Drosophila melanogaster: one gene and its partner. The protein of the gene in region 1 purifies or fractionates together with the protein of each later gene. This does not show direct contact. Each region holds a gene or a part of one and is shown in the gene's direction. Other genes may lie near its edges.

What was found.
Region 2: the proteins of Nup93-2 (region 1) and RYBP purify together in Drosophila melanogaster (affinity purification with western blotting, with the first as the bait; one study listed by BioGRID). This does not show direct contact.

What each region holds. Positions count from the first base shown.
Region 1 is NT_033777.3:14,895,203-14,900,197, reverse strand, and holds Nup93-2 (nucleoporin 93kD-2), read left to right. Parts: upstream 1-1,825; 5' UTR 1,826-1,910; coding exon 1,911-2,071; intron 2,072-2,129; coding exon 2,130-2,310; intron 2,311-2,363; coding exon 2,364-3,745; intron 3,746-3,751; exon of another isoform or gene 3,752-3,807; coding exon 3,808-4,474; 3' UTR 4,475-4,495; downstream 4,496-4,995. Other genes in the region: VhaPPA1-2 (vacuolar H[+] ATPase PPA1 subunit 2), read left to right, coding at 1-559; CG3817 (uncharacterized protein), read right to left, coding at 615-1,445; CG14860 (uncharacterized protein), read right to left, coding at 4,512-4,995.
Region 2 is NT_033778.4:22,668,668-22,675,211, forward strand, and holds RYBP (ring and YY1 binding protein), read left to right. Parts: upstream 1-1,919; 5' UTR 1,920-2,439; coding exon 2,440-2,578; intron 2,579-2,962; coding exon 2,963-3,276; 3' UTR 3,277-4,545; downstream 4,546-6,544. Other genes in the region: CG30269 (uncharacterized protein), read left to right, coding at 1-87; CG13516 (uncharacterized protein), read left to right, coding at 933-1,188, 1,257-1,386, 1,478-1,598.

The sequences.
Region 1 (4,995 bases):
CTTCGCCAACGTGATGGTCAATATGGGTGAGCGCATGGGGCTCGGCTGGTTCCTGTACACCTCGAATCCCTTCCTGTGGTCCGGCATGGGCATCTTCCTCGCCTGCGCCCTGTCCGTTCTGGGCGCCGCCAGTGGAATCTACATGATTGGATGCAGTGTGGCGGGCGGCGGAGTGCGATCGCCTCGCATCAAGACCAAGAACCTGATCTCAGTCATCTTTTGCGAGGCGGTGGCCATCTATGGCCTGATCACGGCCATCCTGCTGTCCGGCAACGTCAACAAGTTCAGCAGCGTGCGTCTGATCACCGACAGCACGGTCATGGCGACCAATATGTTTACGGGATTCGCTACTTTTGGGGCAGGTCTCTGCGTTGGAATGGTGAACGTGGCCTGCGGCATTGCTGTGGGCATCGTGGGATCCGGCGCTGCCCTGGCGGATGCGGCCAACTCGGCGCTCTTCGTCAAGATCCTCATTGTGGAGATTTTTGGCTCGGCTATCGGACTGTTTGGCCTGATTGTGGCCATCTACATGACCTCCAAGGCGGAAACCATTAATTAGACCATTATATAAACGCGACTTAATTGAAAAGCTAACATTTATTTGGTAATTAAAGCTATTCTTCCCCATCATCGTAATCGCTGTCATCAGCTTCATCATTGTGACCCTCCTCGTCGTCGTCTTCCTCGTCCCAGTGCTTGATCTTCTTGTTGGTCATGAAGTCCTCGCGCAGCACACTCCATTCGGACTTCTTTTTGCCGCTGGAGCCCTTGTCTTCGTCGTCGTCATCCGTTTCTTGTTCCTCTTTCTTTACAGCGTTATCTACGGGTGTGGATTTGGCGCGCTTCCCGCTCATCAGGACGTCCAAAAACTTTCGCTTGTTGATGTTGTTTAGCACCGCATCCTGTCGGCTGTCCAGCGGACCCGCTTCCTCCAGCTGCTGCTGCAGATCCTTCTGCTGAATGCGCACGGCATTAAAGAACTGCACCACTCCACGAGTGGCAACTTTGCGGAGCGTTCGTTCACGCTCCATGTCCCGGAAACTGGGCTTCACACGCAGCTGGAGGGGCACATTCTTACGCTGCTGTTTGGTTAGCGTGGCATCCAAGGCAGAGGCCTGCGGCTTCTCGTCTTCATGGTTATCGCCTTCGTCCTCCTCCTTGACATCTGCTTTCTCGATCTCGAAATCGAATCCTGGCTTTTTGTTGGCGGCGTCTTTCTGGAATCGCACAGCCGCCTGGCTTTTTTTGGCTCGAGCTAGCACGGTTTTTTTTTGGGTCTTCGGCTTGGTGGTCTTCAGGACCTTCTGAATGGAATCCGCCCAGCCGGCGTTGCCCTCCGCTTCGCTGGCTGAATTCTGGCTGCCCTCGGAATCGGATTCCTCCGGAGAACTGTCGCTCGCAGGAGCATGTGTCTTTTTAACACGCTTCTCAGTCAAAAGAGCCATATTTTGCAAGCAGGCAAGTGGATCCAACTTTAAAAACAAAACAAGCGTGTTTATCACGTTTTTAGAGATGGCAAGTGGAAACTACAGGTAGCACTATCGGCAAAACTATTAGCAACTATATTGAAAAAAACTGAAAAACTAAAACTATAACTTTGATAATTATATATATATATATATACATATATATATATATATATATATATATATATATATATATATATATATGAATTAAAGCAAATATAAATATATGAATTAAAGCAAATTTTCGAATATGCTTTAATGGAAATAATATTAAATTTATTTCATATTCATTAAATTCCTTGTTAATCTATTATACAACACTAGGAATTGCTTGCACAGGCGTACCGGAATCGATACTGTCATCTCTAACACAGTTGAGGCGCCAACATCTGGTCACACTGATCTTGCCGCTGCTTTTGGACTCAACTTTATTTATTTGCAAAAATGGACCTGAACACTCTGCTGCAGCGCGCCCAGAACCTGAACAATGACGCGAAGGCAGAGTGCGAGCTGCCCGCCGTGGAGCGGACGCTTCAGCAGGTCCTGCGGGCCACCACGGAGCTCCACTCCCGCGTCACCCAAACCGGCTGCAAAGAGATCCAGGCGTGAGTAAACAATACTGAATTAAAGTGAACCATAATCGATATGAACCTCATTCACCAGTCACATACTGCTGGGCTCCAAGGGCGTGGACCTGCCCAAGCTGAACCAGAAGCTGGAGGCGCTGAGTGCCCGGAAAACCTTCGAGCCGCTAGACGTAAAGGCGGACACGGATGTGCGCACATTCCTGAAGAACGAACGCGAGAATGCAATTCTCTCGGTGATCGAGGACACGAAAAAGAATGTAAGTAATGAACCATATAGTCAAAACATTGTTGACTTCTCCCATACTCGCAGATCAGCGACTCTGCGAACAAGCAGAGGTGGGCCAGTATGAACAAAGTATGGAACGAGGAGAAGACCCGCCTGCTGGACGCCTTAATTGCGCCGTCACAGAACTTTATCGACCTACAACGGCTGCCGGAACCCACCATCGTAAATCCGCTTTGTCAGCCACGTTCCTGCCTCGATCCGCTGGAACTAGTGTATGCGCAAGAGTTGCGGCATTACAATGAACTGCTGCTTAAGAGCAGCCATCGACCCAATCTCGTCCAAAAGTTCGCTCATCTGTCCCAGAGCTTCGGAGATTGCCGGCTTACGGACATGTGGACCCTGCTGGCTTGCGTCACCCAAATCAGCGAGCCGCTGCGCAGTGACCCCATCAAGAGCCGACAGCAAAGACCGGAGTTTGTTACCTATGCTAAATCGTACCTAGAACGGCGCTATCGTGTGTTCATGTGCTCCCAAGTCGGTGGATCCTATGCCAACAACAGCTATCAGTTGGTTGTGGCCTATGTAAACCACCGGTTCAGAGCACAGCAGACCATCGGACTTGTGGACACCGTCCGCGAAATACCCTTATGGCCGCTGGTTTACTACGGATTGCGCTGCGGAGCGGTTAAGGTGGCGGTTGAGTTCCTGCGCGAAGCGGGCAGTAGCCACGATGAGTTTGCCCAGCTCGTTGCAGATCGCAATGCCGGCGAAACCAATTCCAAAATAGAAAACCAACTGCGACTGCAGTACGCCAACAAAATACGCAACTCCACCGATGCCTATAAGAAGGCCGTTTACTGCATCCTTTTGGGCTGCGATGTCAATGAAGTACACGGAGAAGTGGCCAAGACCATAGACGACTTCCTTTGGATGCGGCTGGCCATGATACAGCCCGGTGACGCTGACAACTATGGTAAACTGCAGTCAATGATTTTGGAACAGTATGGTGAAAAGTACTTCAATGCTAGGCAGCAGCCGTATCTCTACTTCGAGACCCTTGCATTAACCGGCCAGTTTGAAGCCGCCATCGAGTTCCTGGCGCGCCAAGATGAAAATCGGGCACATGCAGTTCACATGGCCATAGCGCTGTTTGAGCTAGGACTTCTAGGCAGTGCGCGCAGTGTGTCGCAGCCCCTGCTTTCGATCGATATTAAAGATCCGCAGCCACTGAGGCGCTTGAACCTAACTCGGCTTATCCGACAGTATGTGCAGCGATTTGAGCGGACAGACACCTCGGAGGCGCTGCATTACTACTACACACTGCGCTGTCTGAAGGATTCCAAGGGCCGGAACATGTTTATGGCCTGTGTGTGCGATCTTGTGGTGGACAGCGGAGTCTTTGATACCACCATTTTCGATCTGATATTCGGCAAGCGGCAGTCGAGTGACCAAAACGATGTTAACAGGTGATTATATGCAATGTTACATTTATTCAGTCAGTCTAAAGTCTAGTCTCTTGTGTTTTTAGTGGACTCTTCCGCCAGTTCGAATGCCCGGAGTTCGACACGCGCACCATGGCCGCTCAGGTGGGCGACGAACTGGCTGCGCTGGGTAACTTTGAGATGTCGGCGCGGCTGTACGAAATGGCGGGCAAGTACAACCTGGCCGTGAAGCACATCTGCATTCTGATGGCCCAGGTGGTGCACCTGCCCACGCTAGGTGGATCGTTAAGGGAACGCCTTGGCCAAGACGCTCAGAGATTCAACCAGCTGCTGGCTAGCGACAGCATCGATGTGGAACCCAAGATGAAGAGCAGCTTTGTGCTGCTGCAGGATCTGCTTATCTTCTTCAACTTCTATCATGACGGAAAATTTAATGCAGCGTTGGATCTGCTCAGGCAAACCCAGTTGGTGCCCAATACGTTGGACGATGTCGATGTTGTACTGGGCAATGTGAAGCAACTTAGCGGCGAGGTAATCAAGGTCCTGCCCGACGTTATAGTGGCCGCCATGGAGATCGCCCAGAAGCAGTACAAGCAGCTGAAGGCAGGATCAGGCAGCTCGCTGGAACAGACCCAGATGCAGCAACTCCGGCAGCGAGCCAAAGCCCTGTCCAACATGGCAGCAACTATGCCGTATCGCCTGCCCAACGACACGAACAAGCGACTGATTGAACTCGAACTGGATATGCACTAAAATAAATATACTTTAAGGGATAAAGGGAAGCAATAGTCTACTTCATTAGCATGAATATGTGCTCCTCCTCCTCCCCCTCCTCATCATCATCACTGTCTGTCTCCTCTTGCCTTCTTTCCTCAAGTTGCTGAATGCGAAGATGAGCTGCTGCCAATTGCTGTTGGAGATCAAGGCAATTGGCGCATGGATTATTATGAGGCTTACTCTCCTTAAAGCTTTCCTCGTCAATGCCAGAATCCTCGCTCTTGAAACTGATATTACTTCTATTAGCACATGATTTCATACTTTTGATGCTCTTTCCGAGGGGATCCTCCTCCTCCGTTCCTAAGTGGAACTCTGGAATGGCGTCCTTTCTAAGGTTTCCCTTGTTTGGCAGATAAGTCCGGCGAAAGTGTCTGCCGCAAATAAACAGCCACTTGTTGTCCACCGTAAGCCGACATATTTCCATCCATGCCTTGCGCATTTCGGGATTCGAGGGAAAGAAGTGCAGTCGTTCTGGAGGAGATCGTGAGGAGCAGTTC
Region 2 (6,544 bases), on another chromosome or scaffold:
CTGCCGTACTGCATTTCCAGTTGCATGAACACCAATCACTACTGTGGCATGTGCGATCGTTATTTGGGCACCTACGATCGCAAATGAGCAACCAAAAATGTTTCGGGGGCGACCTGTTCATGTGTACATATTTTCTTCAAGTAATTAGTTAATAAATGGACTGCAGCACGCAAACTGAACTAAAGCGAAGTATTTCGTCATTACAAGTGACGCTTTAAGAGCTTTAAAGTGGCATAGAATTACTATTTTGTGTTAGCGAAATTAACCCAGTTTTCAAATAAGTATAATATTATTGATGACCTAAATATTTAATTTTAAATTTGCTCTTAAAAACCAAAGTAAACTGGTTTTTTAACTTCAATTATTAGGCCATTCTTGGTTAAGTTATTCAGTAATTTTTTCGATTTAATTGCTGAAAGCTTTTTTGCTTAATGTTAAATTATACTCTGCTGACTATTACGCCCTTGGAATCCTATATATCAGCTTTATTTGCCAAAAGCCTAACTAATTACTGACTATGCTGAAGTGGCTATCTGTATCTTTATCGGACATCCTATTCCCGTACCTGAGATAAGTTCGATAAACAATGAAGATCATTGTGTGCACTAGATAAAGCTCGGTAAACAGTATTCGAGAGATACTTTCGGTTTTGCAACAGCCCCAAAACTGATTGCTCAACCGGATGGGAGCTTTTCCAAGCTCGCTCCGATCTGAGCCGAAAAAAAACTGAAACTGAATCTCTACCTGGATCCAAATTCGCTGGCAGTTGCGAGCGGCGTTCGAAGTGCAAAAGACGCCGTCTAGTTGTAAATACGCAAAGTAAACAACTTTTTTTTTTCGCTTAGCGAGAACCAGAATCTCTTAGTCATTTTAATAAGTCGAAACCATACCCGAACTTCGCACTAGAGCAAGGGTTTTATAGTGCGTTAACCATGGATCAGAAGCGAGCCATGCTTTATCCGCAAGTGGATTTCAACGCCCCGACGGCCCCCTCGCCGACGCCAACGAGGGAGTTGGGCAATCCCATCGCCAACGGCCTGCCCATCGAGGCTCCTCCGTCGTACGATGTGGCGGTGTCTGTTCCGGTGGCTCCAGCGGTTTCCGCACCAGCAATCGCCCCAGCACGACCACCGCCAGTGGTTGTCGTGGAGCAGCCAGCCCCACAACCACCCACAGTGGTTCCAACAGGTGTGTAGTTTGCACATAGTTATAGTTCGGCTGTGAAGCTCTACTGACGTCACTCCCTGCTGTTGCAGATACTCTACACTTGGGTCCAAATCGAAGTAGGGTTCTCTGCCCAGCCTGTGGAGCCAACAAAACTACGAGGATGACACACACGGCTAACTCCAGGACCCATATGGTGGCAGGTCTCCTCTGTTTGGTCGGGTAAGTTGAGTTTCTTATAAAAAGGAGTAGAGTTTATCTGCTTATTGATTTATCTTAAATTTATATATTTCATGTCTCATCCTCTTTAAAGATTCTGCTGCTGTGCCTGTTTTGTTCCCTATTGCATGAACAGTTGCCGCACTGGAAACCACTATTGTCGCAAGTGTAACACCTTCCTGGGAGCCTACAATCCAAAGGGGATGAACCGATGATAAGACTGCCAAGATAAAACGTGATCTGGGGGCTAGACAGACAGAACAGATACAAGTTATAAGTAAACACAACGCAGCTGATGCTTGCCAGCGGCTAAATTAAGGTTGTATGTACATAGGCCATTGGCTAGAGCGCAAGGCGTCAAAAAGAATCATCATTGGTCATTTAAGCATATGTGAGGTAGCTTAAAAACAATTTAATAAGTTTCCCAAATTCTTCTTTACCCATAAGCACCACTATAGTAAACATAAGCAAAACCGCTTACCTTCCCATTGTTGCTGAAGCAGCTGGCCTTTGGCTGGCTAGAAAAATAAAAGCGTGGGCGTAAGCTTCACAATAAAATGCAAACACAAAACAATGACAAGCCACATTTCAAAATAAACGTAGTTTGGCGCCCAATCGAAAAGTGAGTTGCCAGATCAGCACCATACGCTAGCCAACACTGGCTGCGCGCTACTATCGAAATATCGATAGCCTGGCATTGAGCACTTCTACGATATGGCAATGTTGCCGCAGCCAAAAAGACAATTGCAGAAAGTTTTTTTCACAACAAAAAGCCACCGAAAACGCTCCAATTAAGCAACAAATGCGTGCCAAAAGCGCAGCGAATCTCCACTGAGGCCACCGTGTGTGCGTGAGCGTGGCAAAGGTGCGAGCAGAGCAACCAAACATCACAGGAACACGGCCAGCAGCAGCAGCGGATCAGCAGAGGGGCGGGCAGAGGCAGAGGCGGTGGCAGAGGGAAAAGTCGGGCATTTTCATTGGATTCGTTTTGGTCCGATTCGATTGGATTGCGGTTACTCCAGCGGCGCCCAGGCGTTCCTCCTCTCCTCCTGTATTATGGACAAGAAATCCTCGCCGGTGCGACGACAAAAGCGGCAGGCGAAGGTGATCGAGGAGAACTTCTGGGACTGCAGCGTCTGCACATATAGAAACTCGGCGGAGGCCTTCAAGTGTCGCATGTGCGACGTGCGGAAAGGTAAGTGACCCCGATTTTGCTTCGTTTTCGCTTCCGAGTTCCAAGATTGAGCAGATTGCCAGCCATGTTCCGATTTTCGCTTTCTTGATCATGTGTCATGGATCGGTTTGTTTATCCTTCTACAAGGATACACACACATCGGTATTAACAATATTGGAATATATCTGGTTGAACTGTAGATAGTAATAGTCAAAAAAAGACTGTTGACTGTTGATTAGATGGCCAACGATGGTATCGATTTGCTTACGTAGAATAAATAAATTCACACTGCGCAGAAACCGGGAATACTTCTCGAAACGATAAACATGCTAATTGAAACAATTTTAAACTATTTATATACTATTTTTGGTGCGCTCAATAAGACTATACACCCTTGTTTTTTAGGAACCTCCACGCGAAAGCCACGCCTGAACTCAGCGCTAGTCGCCCAGCAGGCCGCCACTTTGCCAGGAGCCAGTGTCAACATGCCCAACGGGAAGTCCGCCTCCGGATCACGGCATGGCAGTGGGCACGACCGGCAGAGGCACAAGCGGTATCCGGCACGGTTGAAAAACGTGGACCGATCGACGGCACAGACGCGAGAGGTGACGGTCAACTCGGTGACCGTGTTCATCACAGAGTACAAGGCCAAGCCGGTGAGCAGCCGACGCGAATCCAGTGAGCAGAGCTTCAGCGAGAGCAACGACAGCCGGAGTTAGAGGAGGGATACAAGGCCTCCTCGCCCCCAGCTCCCCAATATTCTACGCCACGGTTCCCGCTCCCCTGTTACAAGTTGTAAATTCTAAGTGTTAGGCCCCTGGCGATAACAATTGTAAATCGAAATCCATTTAAGTTACCAAGTATTAGGCCACGTTTAAAGCCCCGAAAGCCAAGCCCCCACTAGTTCATGACTTCCAGCCCAGGCCAAGATGGCAAAGCAAAGCGAAGCGACGGCGAGTCGATTGCATTTACACGACGCTCTCCAAATCCCATTTTAAAATGCGCTAGACCCTGTAAATAGCGATGCATGAGTTCCCTGAATATCTCTGTCTCGTATCGTAATTTTAGTTGTAATTTAATTCTGCTACTCTAATTCCTAATTTATTGATGCAAAGGTAACTATGTATAACCGCCGTGTACATGTTCAACAAAGATATCATTTGTTTTGTAAGTGTCGAATTAAAATATGGTTTAACTAAGTGCAAGTTAATCTCAATGTTCCACTAGCAGCGCCCATCCCCCATGGTTTGTGTAACTATTATAAACTGCCCTTTTTTTTTTGACTAGAAAATGCTGCTTGACAACGAAGTGTAGCGAGAAGAGAGCCACGTAGCTTGGTTGTAGACAATTTGCTAATTTTAATTTGTTTGTATACAAGACTGATTAAGCGTTACCAACCAGATATAGAGAGGTCCGCACACGCACCCAGCCCGAATCCGATTTTCCTTTTGGTTTACACCCGAGATAGCCTCACAGCCAGCAAACAATAGACGAATACTCGAACTCGCAAAAAGAGAATTTTGTACTTAGCAGAGCTTAAACGCTCTTCCACCATAGCAATAATTACTTAGCAAACAATGAAAAACATGAATTTTGATATGAACGATTGTATTTAATATTGGATAACAGATATAATGGTTTATAAAGTGCTTGATATTTGTATTTTGAGATAGATTATTTAGCCACACATGAACACTAACACACACCCACTCGAAACTGCCGACTGTAGTCAAGAAACAACTTCCAATAGACAAACTTCAATTTGGATTATCGTAAACATGTACAATTAATATGAACAGTTTGTATTCCAAATGCTTGGCCAGTTGAGCATTAATCAACAGCAACGACAAAGACAAAGACAAAACTTAAGCAAACGCAATTAAAGCCGCACTCACACGACAACACGGATAGTTAAAACTTGAATTCCAATTGTAAAGCGTAAACTTTTAAAGCATTATAAAATACATTAAATAAATTTCGAAAATGCTATTCCAAGGAGTCGTTGTCTTCTCTCCCGCCCTAAGATGAGTTCAATTTAATATTTTTTATTTGGGCTTATCCAACTTGCTAAACTTTTGTTGCCAAGTTTTATTTTTGATTCTTTTTATGGCTGACATTCGGCTTAAACTTTAAAGGTCTTTAAAGAGCAAGGCAGCAGCGAGAACCACCCCGGCTGGATGCCAGTACATCCACCGTTTCCCCAGGACCCAGGACCACCCACGCATCGCCTTTCCCCCATCCTCCCTTCTGTGTGTGAGTGTGTTCCGAAAGGGGGGGGGGGGGGGGCGCAGCCCGAGCACCATCTGTATCTGTATCAGAGTATCTGCTTACGCGTGCTCCCGGCCTCCAGTTTTTGGGCCTCAGATCAGAGCAGCGCTTCTGCCAGAGTTTCGGTTTCAGATGCACGGAAAACGGGAACAGGAGATGGTGCTCGAGCTGGAGCTGGAGCCGGAGCTGGAGCCACTGTCTCTGGTCGATGGCTACGCCTTTGGCAGCTGCCTCAACTTTTCGCACAGAGCCGGAGCACATCGCACGCTTCGCAAATAAATTACAAATTGTTTCGTTCCAGCTATGCTGGCACAGTCAAACTATACTAACATCAACCCGCTTTGTGTAATGTATGCTTGGATACCTATTAAGCATGTTCGATGTTCGCTAATTGTAAAACTTGTGTTTATGTTTTGATTTCTTCTCAGTTCTTTACTGTTTACCAACAAATTAAAATGTTGTAAATATAAATTTATTTCCCTTGAATTAGCTCACAAGAATGCACTGAACGAGGCTTGACTGTACTTACATACATACACACCCGATTTCATCCACATCCACATCCCACACCCGTAGTTCGCGCAATTCGCTTCAGACTTCTAGCTCGTCGCTCGAAGCTCTCGTCGTTCGTATTTTCTCTAAAATGTTAAAATTCACAGGACCTCCCGGCATGTCACCCCCCGATTTCCATCCCTCTAGTTGCGGCCCACAGGCGGCAGCAGGACCTGCGTTATCAGCGCCACACTCTGTGCGCTTATCTTCCATGTGCGCTTCGTTCTTGGGCTCCAGCTACAACTACAGCAACTCCTCGTCCTTCGTCCTTCGTGGCCCTACGCCTTCTTATCCGTTTGTTTGTCCGTGCTTCCGCCTCATCTGTGCGACCGTCCGCACATCCTGTGCCACCCAACCGGTCCAGGGTCCTTCGTCCTGGCTCCCTCCGCCTTCGTCCTGCGTCCTTGTGTGTAGTGGGAAATTCTCGTTCGTTGGTCGAAGGAGCGAGAAAAAAATAGGCAAAATCAACGTTGCAGCATTTGGAAAATGTTAAAAACTCCTTGCTGCTGCCGGGCATTGCTTTCGCATGACGCATACGCCGCGTTGTCCAGCTTGAGGATCGCCTGGCAAGTAGGAATGGGCGGCGCCTTCTGGGGTGCGACTGGTAATCCTCGCAAGTAACTTGAGCACTTTATGGCACAACGCGCACGTGTGTGTCTAAATCTGTACGTGTGTGTGTGTGCTAGATAACCAATGCCGCGTGGGGGAATCCCCTTAAAGCTGCGATATCTGCCGGTTTTAAACACTCTTTAGGCTTTAGCCATTTTAATTACATTAAAAACTTTAGCTGGCATTAGATAAATTGGAGCCGAAGATGAATCCAAAGCCAAAGCCAAATCTGTAGCCGAAGTCGGCAGCGAACGGCAAACTTATGTCACTTTGATCCTTGCGAGTAACTTTGGGCCAACTCATGCGAGAGACAATGGGGAACTACCCTGCTCCTTGCGCCGCCCCACCCCATCTGGTAATCAAGTTAGTCTTTAAAATTGAAATTCCAGCATTAGGCTAGGAATGCGAGCAACGTAAAACACAATCTATCCGAAAGGGGTGGCTGCCAAAGGGATTTCCGAAGGGGTGGGGGCGTAGCTAGAAAGACGAAGGAAAACTGGGCTGGAAAACGAAAATTTGCTGTCGCTTATCTGTTTCTAATGTGCCACAGCACGTCGA